2 linked regions of the Xenopus tropicalis genome follow. The protein of the gene in region 2 interacts with the protein of the main gene of each other region in a biochemical or structural test. Links are inferred from orthologs where the notes say so. Each region holds a gene or a part of one and is shown on either strand. Other genes may lie near its edges. The genes, in order: sarnp and ddx39a.

Evidence for each region.
Region 1: the proteins of ddx39a (region 2) and sarnp form a complex in vitro, tested with the Homo sapiens proteins (2 studies listed by BioGRID). The link is inferred for Xenopus tropicalis from reciprocal best matches to the Homo sapiens genes DDX39A and SARNP.

Annotation. Positions count from the first base shown.
Region 1 is NC_030678.2:138,205,989-138,209,819, forward strand, and holds part of sarnp (SAP domain-containing ribonucleoprotein), read right to left. Parts: intron 3,329-3,831; coding exon 3,282-3,328; intron 456-3,281; coding exon 388-455; intron 1-387. UniProt on the Homo sapiens protein: Binds both single-stranded and double-stranded DNA with higher affinity for the single-stranded form. Specifically binds to scaffold/matrix attachment region DNA. Also binds single-stranded RNA. Enhances RNA unwinding activity of DDX39A.
Region 2 is NC_030679.2:134,604,110-134,607,202, forward strand, and holds part of ddx39a (ATP-dependent RNA helicase DDX39A), read right to left. Parts: coding exon 2,962-3,093; intron 1,971-2,961; coding exon 1,750-1,970; intron 1,548-1,749; coding exon 1,364-1,547; intron 623-1,363; coding exon 504-622; intron 418-503; coding exon 286-417; intron 173-285; coding exon 63-172; intron 1-62. UniProt on the Homo sapiens protein: Helicase that plays an essential role in mRNA export and is involved in multiple steps in RNA metabolism including alternative splicing. Regulates nuclear mRNA export to the cytoplasm through association with ECD.

The sequences.
Region 1 (3,831 bases), on a different chromosome or scaffold from region 2:
AAAAAAAAAAAAACCCCTCAAATGTTGATAAATCCCACCCCTCTTAGTATATTTATTGCTGCCTCTGTCTGCACTTGCAAGGGGAGTTGATTATTCTTTCCAAATACATTATAGGCAGAAAGCAGATCTTTTTTCACATAGAAATGTTAGACAATTTAGACATCATGAACAAAACTTCATTTAAAGCAGTTAAAAAAGATTCTTCACAGTAACGGCAGTTAGGTTGTGGAAAGCCCTATTGGGTGATGCTGTAAAGGCATATTCTATTAATGGATTTAAGTCACATAGATATGTCTGAATGTGTATTTATATATGCAATGGTGGTCATTTAAAGGGGTTAAACTTGATGGAATTTGTTTTTCAACCCAAATGAACTATGTAACTTACGTATCAGCTGGTTTGTCATCAGGTTCTTCTTCCTTGACTGCAGCGACACTGCTCTTCTGCTCCTCTTCCTGAAATAAAAGGAAAACAGATTACCAGGGATTTGGTCATGATTTTTATGGTATAGTGTTTATTACTAAATACACAGCAAATAATATAATTCACTCTGCCATTTAAAATGTTATTCGTGAACCAACAAACTTTTTTAGTAATATTGGTGTAGGCAATCATCTCAGTGCACTGTGCCTTATTCTGGGCTTTCAGAAGCAGCCAACACTGCACAACAGAACTGCTTTCAGATAAGCTATTGTTTCTCCTACTCAGTGTAGCTTAAGGAGCCATGACTTGGCTTTTTACTGCTATTTTCAAATCTACCATTAGGTAGAGCATGGCAGCATTTTTAGTTATGCAGATGTCAGAGACCTGTTATGCTTACCTTCCCATTGTTCTGCTGAGCAGCTGCTGGGAAACTAACATGTATAGCCCCATGTCAAATTTAAAAATTACATATAAAAATATAAAAAAAAAAATTGTTCGGCCTTTGTAAATTTAGTGCAGGATTCTGCTTAAGCAGTGCTATTAACTGACACAGGACGCATTTTGGGAAAAAAAATGTGTTTTCCCATGATAGAATTTTGAATTGAATGGGGGGGGGGGGTTGTTGTTGCAAAAACACAATAGAAAACTCAATTATACATCTGCATTTTGGCCGCAAAAAATCCTCAAATCATGATAAAAACTCACATTCAAATGTTAATAACTATGTCCCCCACAGTGCTAAGAAGGGTTCTTCTTGGTTCTGCAGAAAGACTGAAACTGACCACAAACATTTCTATAAGCCAGGTGAATTATTAAATGATACTTAGCACAACAGCAGACGGACTTGCATACAGGGAGCAGCAATTCAAGATTGACCAGGTTCACCTGGTGCTTTATAAATGATTATCAAAACAGTATATATAATGAGCCCTGACTTACAGGAAGCTCATATCCCACACTCTATTTTGATCCCAACTAAGATATAATTGATACTTATTGGTAGAAAAGAATCATACTGGGTGTATTTAATGTTTAGATAATTTTAGGGATCATCTGTAACACTGCATAGTTCTATATCAGTACATTTCTTATTTTCCCACACAGGCTTTCTTTATCAATTAACTATTTATATGTTTGAAGGCATCAGTTCTACAAAGAGAATAAAAAAAGCAAATAGACTAAAGCTTATGGGTCTCCAGGACCTGAATGAACATTATGATGGCCAATTATTTATATTGGGGGGGGGCAAGTATGCTTGTTAAATGCCGGTGCATTCTCTGTTCCAACCGGGTCTGATTGCACTAAGAGAGAACAGCAGCCAGCGACTGCCTACATTTCTTGTGCAGCTGAGAAAGGGATGGTTGAGACTGCCTGTTACAGACACCAGGTTACATAGTTACATATGGTTATATAGTTAAGCTGGGTTGAAAAAAAAGACGAAAGTCCATCAAGTTCAAACCCCAGCACACACACAAACCTATCCTGACTAGAGATGGGCAAAAGAATTTGCTTTCTTTGACGCGGGCATCGCTTTCTCTGGTGCGCCTCGGCTTTGGACGCGCAAAAGAATGACGCATGCATTAAAAAAAAAAAAGCTACGTGCACGTCAGAGAAGGTGATGCGCAGTGGATGTTATGGTCACGCAGCAAATTTTTCCGCTCATCCCCGATTCTGACCTATCTATACACTCTCATACTATGCATAAACTATAGACACACACATCAATACTAACTGTAGATTTTAGAATCACAATAGCCTTGGATACTGTGTTACTTGGATACTCGTTATCAACAAAATCCCCTAGGTCCTTTTCAATTAGGGATACCCCCAGCACACCACCATTTAGTGTGTAACTAGCATTTAAATTATTTCTACCAAACTGCATAACTTTGCACTTTTCAACATTGAACCTCATTTTCCATTTTGCTGCCCAGTGTTCCAATTTGCAAAGTGGCCGCATCCTGTATGGAACTTATATGTTTGTCACAATTTAGTGTCGTCAGCAAAAATAGAAACAGTACTTTCAATGCCCACCTCCAGGTTATTCAACTAACACTGATCCAATTAGAAAATGTTCCATTTACCACTACTCTTTGTAACCTATCATTCAGTCAGTTCTCTATCCAATTACAAATATGTTTCAGGCCAATATTTCTCAATTTTATCATTAACCTTATGTGTGGTACTGTATCAAATACTTTAGCAAAGTCCAAGTAGATGACATCCATTGCCATTCCCGTTTACTTCCACATAGAAGACAATTAAATTAGTCTGGCAACATTGGTTACACATAAAACCATGCTGGCACAAAGCTTTCCTACCACTGGTGTCAGACTAACAGGCCTATAGTTTGTAGGCTGTGAAGGGATGCATTTTTGAATAACAGAACCACGTTAGCAATTTGTCAGTCTCTTGGCACCATGCCAGACCTCAATGAATCCTGAAAAATTAAGTAGAGGTTTTGCAATCACAGAGCTAAGCTCATTTAATACCCTAGGATGAATACCATTCGGTCCTGGACCTTTGTTTACCATTACATGTTTAAGTCTCTTTTGAATTTCCTCCCGAGTGACCCGTGCATCAGTAGTTATATTACTAGATTTGTGTCTATTAAAAAGGATGCCTTCATTAGCTGGATCCTCAGCTGTGTAGACAGATGAAAAATAAGAGTTAACAATGTCTGCTTTTTCTCATTCTCATCAACCCCCCTGTGATAAGAGTCCCAACCCTTGAAATGCCAAAAGTAAATGACTACATCTTTATTGGGATATAGGTTCCTGGAAGTATATACATTCATGCACACTATGGGTTATTATATTACTAGTGCAATTTTCGTTAATGGTTAGTCCTGCACTTACTTCTGTTTCTTCACCCAAAACATCTTCTTCATTAGCCTCTTCTTCAGCTACAAGACAAACCAGAATACAAAAAAAAACATTACTAAAGATCCATCAATATGGAGAATAGCCTGTAACTGTAAAGTCAGCAAACAAACCCAAAAACATGTTCACATGTATATTAGAAGCAACACAGTACTATTTGGAACTACAGTCACATTAACATGCATATCAGTGCAGCAATAACTTGGAGGTATGGAGGGCACCCCACACAGTGACCAGAAATGTACTGCACCTGCCCAAATTGAAGGGGACATCTGGTGCACCAGCTAACAGGTAAGCAACTAGAATTACAAGGGGGTGACTAACTTGGCAACCCATAGTTATTTTACTTTGTGTCCTCTAAATGTCTTTACATTTGTCTATTTAGTTTTTGCTTTTGGACATTTTTCATCATTTCTAGATTGCATGATTGCAATCTAGAAAAAAAATCCACAATCCAAAATCACAAGAAAACATAAATGATATGTCCTTCTATGTGAATTATGGTTACTGTTTTTAGCCTCTTACA
Region 2 (3,093 bases):
ATCGGGGCCACCTAGTTTGCACTCAGCAACCCCCCCCCAACCCAGGTATCCTCCCCACTCACCTCTCCTCCTGCGACATGTTTCTGTGAATAGCGATAGCAGGGAAGTTTTGTTCAGTCAAGAGCTGGGCCAGAGCCATGCATCTCTGCACTGATTTCACAAAGATCACCACCTGTGGGAGATATCAGAAGTTAGACCAGAGAATGTTCAAATACATTTGAAAAATGTAGTCAAGCACAATACCATAAGAACATATCCAGGGTATGAGATGTATAAAAGATTTACCTGATTAAACTCTAATACGTCCAGTAGATCAAAAAGCTTGCGGTTCTTCTCACTGTCTTTTAACTTGACATAATATTGCTGCAGGCCATGAAGGGTCAGCTTGGTCTCATCATCCACAAATACCTCCATAGGCTGAGGAGAAAACAACAGCGATAAGGACAGAGAACATAATAGGAAACCTTCCTTAGAGAATGGCACGGCCCAGCTGAACTACTTACATCTTGCATGAACTTCCGGCACACAGGGCGGATCTCTTTACTCAGGGTGGCACTGAACATCATGCACTGTTTCTCATGGGGTGTTAGGCGGAAAATCTCCTGTACATCTCTTCTCATATCTAAAAGGGAGATAAATCATAGTAAGTCTCTATTCCAATCATTTGCCCCATCCCTTACACCATTATACAGTGTTTTGCATCGGGTCATAGATTGTTATACATTCTGATAGGACCAGTTACACTGAAAGGGTCATTTATGTGCCAATGTTGTTTTTAAAGGAACAATTCAGTGTAGAAATGAAACGAGGTAAAATGTTAACGGATGTCCAACACAATAGACAGAACTCTACATCCTGCTTTACAGCTCTAAGCAGTTAGCAGTCAGTGACGTTAGGGAGGGAGGGCATATGGGACAGAACTATTCAGTTAGTTTGTGAGCACTCTGTTCAGATTTAAAAGCAAACTAACTGAACAGTTATGTCCCATGTGCCCCCCCCCCCTAAAGTCACTGACTAACTAAGAGGTTAGAGAGCTGAAAGCAGGAAGTAGAGTTCTGCACATCTGCTCACTCCAGCCTTTGTAGATTACATTTTTGCCTAACTATATTAGAAACATTTTTTTATTTTATTTCATTTTTACACTGAATTGTTCCTTTAAAGCGGAACAGCCGGGGATTAAGGTACACATTTAGAGTCAATAGAGCGCTAAAGGTGTAGAACTGCACTTCCCACACCACCTCTAGTAAAGGAACAAAAATGGTGTGAGGATGGGAGTTATTCATCATGTAACACTATGAACAGTTACTTAAGAGTCTATGACCATTCTGCCACAGCAGCCATGCACCCCAACAGGCATCCTCACCTAACTGCTCCAGCATCTTGTCACACTCGTCCAACACAAAGTGTTTCACGTTCTTCAGATTCAGGATCTTGCTTCTGACGAGCGCCAGGATGCGACCCGGTGTTCCGACAACAATATGGGGACAGCTCTTGCGTATGGTGTCTTCATCTTTCTTAATAGAGAGCCCGCCAAAGAAAACTGCCACCTGGGAAAAAAAAGGAACATTTCATAGGTTTAGCATTTCTCAACCCAGAAAAATGGCAAGGGCACCCAACACACAAGTACATGGCACCCAGTTATCCTGCTTCCCCTGGATGCTACATTCCCAGTATATGAAGGTGGCTCAGCACATGGAAGGCCACAAGCTGAAACCCTGATCTAGAACATGAGATTAATGAAGTACGTACTTTGACAGTCGGCATGTATTTGGAGAACCGCTCATACTCCTTGCTGATCTGGAACGCTAGCTCACGCGTGTGGCACATAACTAGGACAGTCACCTGCCCTTCCACGGCTTCGGTTTGCTGCAGGGTGGCCAGGACAAAGACAGCAGTCTTCCCCATACCAGATTTTGCTTGGCAAAGGATGTCCATGCCCAGGATAGCCTGAGGGATACACTCATGTTGGACTGTAAGAAAAAAAAAAAACGAAACATTTATATTTAATGACATGAGAAATTAAATTTCAATAAGCTGAACTGATTTTTCTACCAGTGGGATGGAAGATTGCTACTAAGGCAGCACCTAAGGGTCCATATGATAACTGTGCCCAGAGGGATTGCAGCTTTGGTGTGGACAAAAGAAATCTTAAATTAGGTGCATTTGCATAAATATGTATAATTACTATATTTATAGTTAACACCTTATATAAAGCAGTAATTATGGCATTCCAACTGTAGCTAATTGCTGGGGTCAGTGATCAAACCAAGGGCACAACCTTAACTTGGAAGAGCAGTTATATTAGCTGGCTGGTCGGGTTACTTACAATAATCATCAGAATAGAATGAGTTTACAGCTGAATTAATATCAATGTCCTTATTCACCCTTCTCATTAAGCAGCTAGTAAGGCATTTAAACTGCTCCCACAGTGATAAGGATAGATGACCCAAACAAGGACAACGCTTGGGTCACAGGCTGTAGGAAGGCAGTAACAGTTAGGGTGAAGACACACTGAGCTACTAAAAAATAGACAATGCTGATCATTTACGGATAATAAGAATTGCCTCTGCTAAAACACACATACAATTGTCTATGGCAGGGGATTTTCTGGAGTTTAGTAGCCATGACAAGTAGCTGCTGCTACTAAGTAGCCCAGTGTATCTTTGCTCTTACAGTAGCTTTGGGGCTGGTCGGGTTACTTATCATAATAGGATTTAATACGCTCACAATTGCATAAATAATGAAGTTTCCATTCATGCCTTTTATTAAGTTGTTATGCAAGGCATTTAAGCTGCTGCCCAGTTCCTGGGGGTCGGGGACCTAAAGAAAGCAGGTGAAGTGTTGACCTGGAAGCAACTTAGGAACCACAAGAAAGTTAAGATTGAAATTAGGACTGGTATTACTGATGGGCCACTGTCGGTTCACACTGTATTTCTAAGCCTGTGTGTAGACATTGCTTACCCTCAGAGGGATGTTCAAAACCGCAGTCTACGATGGATCGGAGGAGTTCGGGTTTCAGCAAGAAGTCTCGGAAGCCGGAGCTGTGGATGGACACGTAGGAGCCTTTCACCTCTTTCCGGGCGATTGGAGCTG